Drosophila melanogaster: one gene and its partner. The protein of the gene in region 2 interacts with the protein of the main gene of each other region in a pairwise test. Each region holds a gene or a part of one and is shown on either strand. Other genes may lie near its edges.

Region 1 (7,925 bases), on a different chromosome or scaffold from region 2:
GGACAAGCATTCAAGGATTCCTCCTCTAGCTGCACTGCATCATGGTTGGCCGCCATCTTCTCGATGATCTCGCCCAGATTCTTGGCCGCAATGAATTCGGAAATGCCGATGTTGTAGCCCTTCTCGCGCAGCAGCGTCACCGTGAAAATGGAATTCAACGAGTTGCCGCCCAGCTCATAGAAGTTACTGTGCGGAGCGAGGGTTGCTCTGGTGGAGCGTCCAATCACGCCGCCCACTGTCTCGAAGAGATCCCGTGCCGTTAGCTTTAGATCCTCAGGAACCTGCGAGTAGTCAAAGTCCAGAACGATACTGGAGTCACCTTCGTTGTTATTGGCCGTCTCATAGGTTTTGAGCAGCGCCTGGCGATCCACCTTGCCGTTGACCAGCAATGGAACGTGCTCCAGGATGACCACCTGCGGCGTCATGTAATCGGCTAGCTTGTCCTTGAGACGAGCCTCCATCTGCATCTCGGTGACCATGGGGGCATCATCGCGCAGCTTGACGAAGGCCAGAATAGCCTGATCCACCTGACCAGCATGGTAGCACAGAACAATGGCCTTATCCACCAGCGGCAGCTCGGCCACGTTCTTCTCCACTTCGGACAGGTCGACGCGATGTCCACGGATCTTCACCTGAGAGTCGGTGCGTCCCTCGTACATGATGCTGCCGTTCTTCAGGGATCCATAGTCTCCAGTGCGATACAAACGGGCGTATTCTGGAGAGGTAAAGTCGGATTAAGTAATAATAACTAACTTGAATGCATTTTGAAATGTATTCAGAAGATATCAGATGGACAACTTACTCTTCTCCACAGCTAAAGGATTCTCCAAGAACCTCTCCGGATCGCGTCCGTTAACATAACCAGCGGCCAAGTTGAGACCCGAAGCAAAGATCTCCCCAATCTCGCCGTTCTTCACCGGACGATAGTCGGCATCCAACAAATAGACCACGGTATTCGACAGTGGAATGCCTTCAGGATAAGAGATCATGGGTTATACACGACATGGAAATTTTAGAACCCGAGTTTAAGGCTCACCTATGGGCACATTATCGTACAAACTCAGTTGCTTCTTGCTCTCGCACGCAAAGTAGGTGACATCGCCCAATACCTCCGTGGATCCGTAAAAGTTGTACAGCCGGTGCACGCCCTCATCGAAATAGTCGAAGAAGCTGCTGGCCAGGGAAACGGATAGGGGTTCTCCGGAGCAGACCCAAATCTGGAGATTGTACAGCAGTTTCTGAGCAGCTCCGCCTCCCTCCATCTTCAGATACATGAGCAACGAGCGCAGAAGGGTGGGCACCAGTACGAGACGCCTGATCTTATAACGCTCCAACAGGGCCACCAATCGCTGGGGATCCTTGGTCACTGCCTTGGGCACCACCAGAATGGCCAGGCCACACATTAACGGGCCCCATAGCTCCGCAATCGAGTCCACGAAGGTTAGGGCCGTCTTGAAAACGCTCACCGCCTCGTTGGCGGTGTACGGAAAGGTCGCCCACTGCCACTGGAGCCGATTGAGGATGCTCTCGTGCGGCAGACGCACTCCCTTGGGCACACCCGTACTGCCCGAGGTGTAGAGCACGATGGCGATGTGGTCGTTGCCACCGCGCAGCATCTCCTCTGAGAGCAGATTGGAGCCGGCCAGCTGGAGGGATTTGGCATACAGTTCGGTGGTGGATAACGTGGGAGTTCCCTGGAAACGGCCGGCGTCGATGTCATCGTCGCGAATCACCAAGGTGGGCTTCGCCTCCAGCAGTATGTGGTGAATGCGGTTCGCCGGGAAGCTGGGATCGATGGGCAAATACGCGCCGCCAGCCTTCCAGATGGCCAGCAGTGTGGTGACCAATCCCTCCGACGGCTGCATGCACACAGCCACGATGAAGTCACCATCGCTGTTTGGCTGCAGGAACCGGCCGTGGGTCTCGGCCACCAGGAGGCGGGCTGCCCGGTTCGCACGCTCGTTCATCTGGCGGTAGCTGCTCTGACTGGGCGCCATTCCCTGGCCCGTAGTGCTGGGCTGATAGATCAGAGCCACCTTGTCGGCATGCCGCAGCTGCTGCTCCTCGAAGATGCGGTGCAGAGCTCTAGGCACGAAGTCTTGCTGCAGACCCTTGACGATCGACAATTGTGGCAGCGAACCCATCTTGAAGATATATTAACTGTGGGGAATACTTTGTTAGTTTTGGGCTTAGAATCTCAGTCGGAGAATCCCTAGGTTACATCATCATTCCCAGCTCGTATTATGCAATGCAGGCTAATGCCTTGCTGCCTTGCGGTAGCAATTAAATTCATTCATACATGCATATTTATAACACTTCGTGTTAATGGAGCGCTCGCACAATAAACTATTATAATGAATGAGTATGAATATGGGAGCTGGCTTAAACGGATGGCTTCTGTTGAGCTATATTTATTCAATTAAATTGCTGTCTCTTAAGCTGCAGAGATTGCAAGTTCAAGTAAACTGGAATTCGATATTCCATGTTAATGACTTGATAATTAAGGGTTTCAGGGTAATACGATTTTATTAATGTTTTATTATTTATATCAGTACTTAAGAATAGCCTTATGGAAATAGTTGGAATTCTTATTTCTCGCTAAATGGCGTGGAGTATAAAGACTCATTCATTTTATTTTCAGTAATAGTTAAGTTAGTTTTTCTTCTTTGCGACTAAACGCTTAGCAACAGGCACATGTTATTTTAAATTATGGCGACATTTTTATCTATTCGCTTAGCACCATATTTTTCCCTAACCTATCAGTCATACTTTCATTACAGGTTTGTCTAATAGGAGACTAGAGAGCTCCTTAACTTTAGTAAATATTACTTAATGCATTAGCATAGCCACCTGCTTGTCGTTACTAATTACGGTCAGTTTAATCTATGTGGGCTTACACTATGAATTGAGATGTGTTCCGGCTTTGAAAATCCACGTTTACATTGCCAGGTATTTATTCCTAAAAAAATGTGCCTTAAAAATAAAAATAATAATTTTCGAGTTTTGAATAACCTAGCTCCATAAAATGCCTCATCTTGAAGGAGTTACGCTGGCTCAACTGTTGTATCTCGGACATTGGACTTGGCCAAAAGCCTAAACAAGCGCTCGGAATGCGGCATGCTAACTCGTTAATTGCATGGAGCTAGCCAATTGCCAGAGGCACCAGTCGCTGTCCCATTTTACGTGACGCCATAAAACGCTGGCGAAGATTGGTGGAGGTCTTTGTGCTGCTCATGCTCGTTAAGTTCCATTGGCGTGTTATAAAACTCAGCAAAAATGTCATTGCGCCGACCACTTCTGGTCTACTACCTGTATCTGATTCTGCCCGGCTCCAATGTCAAGCGCTCTAATCCAAAACATGAAGACAAGCTGCCGTCTGGAGGCCCAAGAACGACAATTACCCGTGCCATACCCCTGGCCTTAGCAAATGTTAATCTCTGATTTGGTTTGAAAATTTGATTTCATTAGATTTGAGGCCTCGTTGAATGACTTCGATCGGGGAAGTGGAGCAGTTGAGCGGGCGTTGGCGCTGGGAAAGGCAAGGTAGTCAGGAAGCTTCTTTGGGGCAGTGCGCTATGAATTATTTATTTGCTTCCGCTTCTTCTCCAGCCGAGGAGGAAATGTTGTGGAAGTTTAAGTGAAGGGTGGATGTCGAGGTGGAGATGGTTGTGGTAGCTTGTTGTAACCATCGCGGCTGGGGAGCTCGAAACAAGTTATACTTCAATTGCGCAACTTTAGAGCTGAAAATGCGCCGCCTGGCTTCTGGGTCTGGTTTTCGGACTTGCTTGGTTCTGATTCTCGACTGGCATACATTTTTTTGGCAGCCAAGCAATTTACAACGGTTTACGGGGCGTATACGTAACGAATTCAAGGCTAGTCTTAAATCATTTCCCAAGCGCCCATTACGTATGCGCCGTGTGAGTCCAATTAGTTTGTTCACTTGCATAGACAACCTGCACTATGTTTGCCCACTATATATGTATAGTACTACATGTGTATTTATTTGAGCATATATAGTATGCAAGCTAGTACTATACTATCTGCATACAATGCTGACGCAGTCCATTGTTTTGGTCCCGCCACTCGAGTGCATTCTTGAGCCCCTTTGGTTCTTGGCATTTCACATCATCGATTAAATGCATCCAGCGACTTCTGTTCTGTTCACCTTCGCTGCTTCTGTTGATGAGGTGAAATCCATGCGGCTGCTTTAGTGTTATTACTTTTGCCCCTATTGCCATTAAATCAACGAAAACAAACCAAATAGCCAGCATTAAAACCTAGTAGCAGCGCAATCGAAAAGCATTTAAGACCGCCGCAGTACGACGAGTGCTGCTAATAATTTTCCGACCAAGGTTGCATTTGCGTTAGATCGTTTTCAGTTGGGCTTGGAGGTTCTGGCGCTTTTGGAAAATCGTTCCATAATTATCAGCCTGCCATGTAATCTGTAATTTACATAATTATTGGCCGGGTTGAAAGACCGTTTGCCAGTGGCTGTGTTGGCTGTTGCACTTGGCGGATCAACAACATTGCCTAAGGTCGCGTGGTTTATCTAGTATCGCAAATGTTTCCGCTGGTAGTAATTCCGAAGAGTGTGGCTAATTAATTTGTCGAACCGCAGTGGGAGGCGGTCGTTGGAATCAAAACACAACAGGGCTCTATGCTGAAGTCCACTACTGTTCATTGATTGAATGTATTATTATGTCTTTTTTCTGCCGGCACTGATTTGCCTAATTGAGTAAAAAGCGTCTAATTTAAGCGGTGCTGCGGTGCCCCACCATTGCATCTGCACGGCTTTGTTGGGGGTCGTCCCGGTGAGTGTGATCTGTTTTTTTGTCTGTGCTGGGTTTTTTTCTCTGTTTTCCCCACCGCCGCTGCCGTTTTCCGCAGTATTTCCGATTGTGAGTCAATTGGATGACAAGCTCGTATTGTACGAGTATTTGGAAAAGAACAAAACCGCACTCAAGACCAGCAAACGGTCAAAACTAACGATCTCGGCCAAGTGCCTTACGTCAATGGGGGAATCAGTTGGCGAGCTCATTAACGAGCCAAGTTCAAGTCGGCGAATGCAAATTGTGCACCATAAAAAGCACTTGTAAACGATATGCGACACTCGTTTAGCACATACTTAACATAATTAATAGCCGATCGCTTTGGCCAATGACTCAATTGCAATTATAAATCCATCACTGCTGGCTACCGTCAATAAGTATACGCCGCGTTGGCCGCTCTTAATAACAAGCGTTTTACTAAGCGCTCCAAGACAAATTAAATGTCATTTGCTGGTTACTTATGCCAGCCTTTAGTATGTCGATGGTGGTTTGTAGTCAGGCGCTAAACGCTGAGAAAACAATTTGGTATTCTGAGAAAAGAAGGTCTTAAGTCCGAGTTTAAGAGCTTCGTTAATCACTGAACTAATGCAATGCCTCTTCTGACCTCGCCGCGCCTCGAATTCTGGTTGCCTTTTGCATTTGGAGTGCATTCCCAAGGAACGAGCCGTTAGGCGAATCCAGTTTCCTTCTTGAGTTTAGAACTCGTTTACTTCCTCAAAACGATTTCGTTAGAAAAACTGGTCTTCTAATCGCGCCTTTCAAATCGAAGTATTAGAAATCCTGCTACTTAAAAAACTTTAGTTTGGAACTAACAACGATTTGAGGACTTCCTTAAAGTCATAATTGTTTGGCCATTGTGACAACGAAAACCTTAGCCCACAAAAATGTCGACGTCGAGTGAAGCGAGGTGAAAACAATTTGTTGAATCCATTAATTTATGCTTGAAACTAATTACATTTTTCGTCGTTCTGCTTTTTTGTAATATTCTCAGCTTAATGAATTTTATGTAATTTCTGTCGGATGTGAAGTAAGTTTCGTTATATACGAAGGAACTTAATTCGGCCATTAAATAACGCGAGAAATATTTTGTTAACTGCTCCTCAGCATGCATGTCAAGTCAATTTGCACATTAATTTCGGGAAAGCGAGTTTGCCGAATCTAAATAAATACTTGATAATCACGTAATACGTACCGTGGGTAATAACAAATTCTGACACTGGATTTTTTGAACAGGTTCTTGATTTCCTTTTTCAAATGTTTATCTGTGGCCGTTTCACACTAAGCACGTTTTTCTTGAATTTGATTTTCCTTCTATATTTTCAACTATGAGAGAGTGAGTCTACCAGCTTTAAACTTCTTTTTCTGGTCACTTCACTTAGCGTTTCACTTTGATTTTGGGGGGCACCCAAAAAACTTGCAACGCACTCGGGAAACTCAACGTGCTATGTACTTGTAAACGGCGCTCGCAGACTAATCAGAATCCCAGCCCCCGACTATCTTATATATCCGACCGATCCGCCGCTGCCGCAGTCGCCGCCGGCAGCGCAGTCGCATTCGGCTGGCGAAGAATGACTGAAAAAAAAAAACCAGTTCCTGCTCTTACAGCCCCTGCAATTACCGCTCGCAGCATACCACACATACCCATATGCGGGCGCTCAGTGTGTGGACGCCGGATTAGCATTGGTACCGCTTTACTTGGCTCGCCATTTTTTAGCGGACCGCCGAGCGGTGACGTAGGAAATGAAATGGAATGAAATGAAATTCCCCGCCGTCCCCTCACTCACTAATTGGCAGGCGAATTGTACACTTTGATTACTACTTTTCTGCCAACCAGACCATTTGGAAATCCCTCGAGTGACACACACAGCTCACAGCGGATTGGGGAAGGTGAGATGGCCACTGCTTACGCGTAGGTGGAAAGATGATTTAAATTAGTCCTCCTTTTAAGCAGGAGCTAACAAACAATACTAGTAATTAAGTGATATGGTAGTACTTTTAGGGAAATCTAGGAAAAAGTGCGTCCCTCTTAGCTATACAATGAAACTGAAACTGAGAATTATTATGTATTAGTATTGATAAAGTTTATTAAGGTATGTAAATATTTAAAATTCTGAAGCAAATGTTGGATTTAAGTGCACAGCCTATATTATTTCCGCACTATTCGGATTTTACTATTCCACATGAACTGGTATTAGAATTTAATAGCTAGCAAAGCTTCTAAAAATGGTCGAGTTTATGGCCAAGAGTAGTGGCTATTGTAGCATTAACTTCGCAATTGTTAGTAGTAGGTTGTTAGTACTCGTGCGAAAGTAAAATCGCATTAAAATTGGAATTTCAAATCGATCGAGGATCGCAGTCGCTGCAATTTGTAGTTGTCAGTTGGGCAGATCGGTGTTCATACATATCAGTGGATTTGTGAGAGGGATTGCATTTGCTAACATATGCCAGCCGTCATGTTGTGCTTCCCATTACGAAGTCAGTGTGAAAATTTGCAGTTAAGGCGCTTGTCCCCTGACTTTTAGTGCAATCATTACTCAATAACTATGTATCTACTGCCTTCGAATGCAGTCGAACTTGATGCACAGTCGGAATCAATTGGACTTCATAACTACTTTGTAGGAAAGTCTGAAGTTGATCATTGTTTGCAGTGCCAAGGTTAATCAGTTGATTGATTTAATACTTAAAGAAAGCCCTGGCACAATCAAACACTAATGTTCGATCCAATTAATCGATTTTTAATTAGCGAATCATGAGTGTTTCGTACAAGAATCAACGCCAGTAAATCCAAATTGCGATGCGGGCTAACACTTTGGAGCTGTCGATTGCCATCATTACCATTTGCATTTTTATCAATTTGATTTTAATAGCAGAAATATGACAGACTGACCAATTCAGCAATTACTTTGTGAGTTCAAGAATTAAGAACTGATTTTTCATTGTAAATGGAAATAATTATTAATAGTAATAACAATCTGTGTAATAGTCAGGAGATTTGTAATCAATTAAATTTTATTTTTATTTGAACAAGTAAATCATTAAAAGCGCTAATAAAATAAGTTGCTTTCATAAAAATAATTGTCGGCAATTGAACAACTT
Region 2 (3,916 bases):
TGCGTGACGTGTTCGACTGTAGATCCGCCTTGACGGTGACGCATTCCACCGGATTCGGGGTGGTATTGTGGACGCAGATGTAGCTGGCGAATGTTTCGCCCAGGTAAATGCTGCCGAAGGACTGCGGCAGCAGTAGCACCTGGCCGGCCGCCAAGGTCTCCGCACAGGCACCGGACATTCCGTCGCTCTCCTGGGAGCTGCTAAATCTCTGGACCAAATCCGTGGGCTCGCAGGTTACCACAGGTCCAAGGCCCACCAAAGTGGGCCGCATCAAACGCATAACTAAGAAAACAACAAAAACATCACACTTTGTCCATAATTTGCATTACAACTAGAGTTTACCTTTGAGTGCCACCAAGTGCGCATCCGGTTCAACCATCTCCATGTTGTAAAATACTCTAAGAAGTGCTTAACTTTAACAAAAATAAATCAGCAATTTAATTTACTTAATGCGAAAAACTCTGTTTACATCGGTGCGACCAAGTCTATTGAACTTTATTATACCAGTCTTTACAGAGGAGTACCCCTAACACACCATTTTGATGAGAAAATAATACCAACAAACAATAAATTTGAAAAACTAAAATTATAAAATTAGTTATTAAGAAAAGGACACCAAGCTTTGTGTTCGCTTATTTATTTTGTAATAAACAATACATATTTACATCACAATCTAGTACGAATTACTTTCAATCCTTATCCTTGCAAATTCGAGATGTCATTTCTTGTAGGGGTTCCAATTCCTTGGCCGAAATCATGTCAAATTCTTGCACAAAGTAGTAAAAATGTTTGTAGCAGGCATTCACGTGAGCTTCCTGAAAGTGGTGAAAACATTTAACAGTTTATAGAGTTAATTAAAGTAACTATTTAGTGATACGCACCGCTCCAATGCTCACAATCCGATCGAAATGGTGAATATAGACGTGGACGAAAACACGAAAAAGACGGGTTAAAATTTTACGACTTATTGCTATGAAGTTCTTGGGAAATGGAACATCTGAAAGGAAGTATGGTACACATTAAATAACTCATATACGAAATATGCGAGAGGGCTTCTTTAAAAGGAAAGTATATAATTTCCTACCCGTGGACACTGGAAAAACAGCTTCGTTGTTAATTTGTGTCTCAATCCAGTCCATTAAATGCTCAATGTACTTTTGGGCTGAAAGGGCGGTTGGCTTTTTGTATCTGAAATCGTAGCTACATTAGTTTATGCTCTTCGCAATATCATTTCCTGCACTTACAGATCTCCATCGGCCCATAAGTACTCATATCTGGAACCGCCAGACATCGTGGGACACGTAGTTTCGTTGCAAAACTCCGAAACGGTGCCGTAGATCAAGTTTATGCGATTGAAGAAGTCCACAACTGAAATATACAACGTTGGGTATACTGTATATATTGTATAATTCACAATTCTCACCGTGCACAGCTAGCCAGTCGTTGAGATTCTCCCCTTGCGGCAAACGCACCACTTGCCGCAGATTAATCCCGGATTGCAAACTGGCCTGGGCTTGCTTATGTAAGGAATACCTAATGGTTCCGGAGGCAAATGGCTTTTTTGGCCTAAAGGTCTGAAAATTAGTTTAAAAATACATCAACTGCATATGATTTTGTTATTGACCAAACACACCTTGCCCTTTTGGAAGAATTCTAAAAATCCATTTAAAGCCATAATATCTTGTTGGAGATTCTGTTGGTTGTGAGAATATTTTGGCACATATGTAAGCGCTGCTTACAGCACAAAAGTTTGTCAATTGAATAACTATTAATGGCTGTTTATAAATAATGTTTACATTTATTCAGTTCCTTAGACTATTCTGTATTTTTATGCCGATGGAGAGATGGGAGAAACCATTGATAGGCTTTTCACGACTAAGTTATCGAACCCTTAGAATAATCGTTCCATATATCACTGTTCCAGTGTACCAATTGGTTTAACACCCTTAAATAACAAATATTTAATTAGTTCTTATTTATCATAAAAATACTTTAATTTGGCTTTAATCACTATACAAATGAAACAATAAAAAGCTGTAAAATGCAATATAGAAAATAACAAAAATTTCTGCAGTATTTTCGTAATAATATAAATAGTAACCGTCGTACATTTATTATAAAAGTAATATTCTTAAGCTAAAAATAAGAATGTAGGTTATTCTTGTTTGAGGATTCCGAGTTCCTGAAGTAACTGGTCATTGTTGGTTGGAGTGTTGCTTTCGCTCAACTGGTTATTCCATTGAATTAACTGCAATAAAGATGAGAATAAATAAATTGGTTGGACGTGGCATGATAAGTTATATACCGACGCGCTCCAGTTCCGTACGCAAAGCAACTACAGCCTTCTCCCGATCCGCCACCAGTTCCTCCAGGTACTGATACCGCAGCTTCTTGCGCGCCCGGCATTCCCTGGCACTTTGTCTGCTGCGTTCTGCAAGGGAAAATACACGTTATATAAAATTCCATAGGAAATAACATGTATTAGTGTTTGGAAACTTTGTTACTATTAAAAATAATACCGTTGTTTAAGTATTATAAGTGGAAATTAATGTTGTTCTTACCTAGTTTGGCTTTCATGTCCAATTTTTCAGTAGACGTCTTTCTTCCTGGTTTTCGTCCCCTTTTTCCACATTCCTTGCGCGTCTGCTTATAAATATAATATAAAATGTAAATATTTGACGATATCCCAAAAACAATTTGCTTTCAATATTCTTATTCGCAAAAATTTAGTTCCGATAAGTCAAACTTAAAATCTTTTTTGAAAATAGGCGCTTTTGCATGATAAAAATCACATATGTATATACACGCATACACAGAAGATAGCTTATATATGTGTATATACATACACGCAAGGCCTTACTGCGCATTAGAACAATTCAGATCATGTTCAAACAAAAAGACCACATCTTTTATATTTAATAATATATTACCACTTGTGTTTCCTCCGTTATTGACATTTTGTTGCTCTGTATCTCCATATCAGCCATTATAACTCTCAAATAATACAACAACTTTGCAACTCTTTGTTATTATGCGTCTTTCGTAAATACTCAAGGTAACAATAAACAAAACCACTACACACAAAGGTGCCAATCGAAATATATCTTAACAGAAACGATGGAATGGAACACATTAAGGGAACTATTTGTATTTTATATTTAAGAACAAAAATATAAATAAAGTTTAAATCGTAACAAATTTTCTTTTAATGACTTAAAATGATAATAGTCATTATATTTAAATAGTTAAATTATGATAATAGTTAAATTATAAATTAATTAAATAATAATTAATAAATGTTCAATATAATTATTCATTATTTGGGGTTTGAAGAAAATATAAAAGTACACGGCTATATATTAACAAACATTTTATATATTGTTTTACTTTATTTACTTTACTAAAGATCATACAAATATTTATAAAATTATATAAATTAAATTGACGTATTATTCAGATTACCATGATACATTTCCCAGCACAAAGTATAAAAATAATTAAAAATACAAGTCACTAGAGCAGCGGGAAGTCCCTTTTTACGGGGCCGTTAAACTATAAATACATCCCAACACACGTCCATTCTCAGTGTTCCAAATGCGAGGATATTTTTGAAAATTAGCATTTTTGCAACGAGTTTAACCACCCTGGTCGAAAAGTTGATATAGATACAAACGCTAAATTGTCCGGTGGTGATAACTTATTGATTATTTATTTTTCAAGGCAGCTATCCGATTTGCAGGATAACTCCGAAAACGAATCAGAAACAGTGAATCCAGATGTCCAGCATGGGTGATCAGCGCGGGACACGGGTGTATGTCGGCAATCTGACCGACAAAGTGAAAAAGGATGATCTGGAGGGGGAGTTCACAAAGTATGGCAAGCTGAATTCGGTGTGGATAGCCTTCAATCCGCCGGG

What was found.
Region 1: the proteins of Mob3 (region 2) and e interact in a two-hybrid assay, tested with the Drosophila melanogaster proteins (one large-scale study listed by BioGRID).

The regions. Positions count from the first base shown.
Region 1 is NT_033777.3:21,230,874-21,238,798, forward strand, and holds the start of e (ebony), read right to left. Parts: upstream 6,305-7,925; 5' UTR 6,022-6,304; intron 2,161-6,021; 5' UTR 2,145-2,160; coding exon 1,037-2,144; intron 971-1,036; coding exon 803-970; intron 716-802; coding exon 1-715. UniProt on the Drosophila melanogaster protein: Nonribosomal peptide synthase which is required for the regulation of histamine and dopamine levels in various tissues through their condensation with beta-alanine.
Region 2 is NT_033779.5:10,263,279-10,267,194, reverse strand, and holds Mob3 (MOB kinase activator 3), read right to left. Parts: upstream 1,860-3,916; 5' UTR 1,676-1,859; coding exon 1,634-1,675; intron 1,575-1,633; coding exon 1,424-1,574; intron 1,369-1,423; coding exon 1,245-1,368; intron 1,189-1,244; coding exon 1,085-1,188; intron 998-1,084; coding exon 882-997; intron 816-881; coding exon 690-815; 3' UTR 625-689; downstream 1-624. Other genes in the region: CG4953 (uncharacterized protein), read right to left, coding at 1-282, 343-385; REPTOR-BP (REPTOR-binding partner), read right to left, coding at 2,156-2,248, 2,310-2,431, 2,562-2,646, 2,931-2,987; Rsf1 (repressor splicing factor 1), read left to right, coding at 3,777-3,916.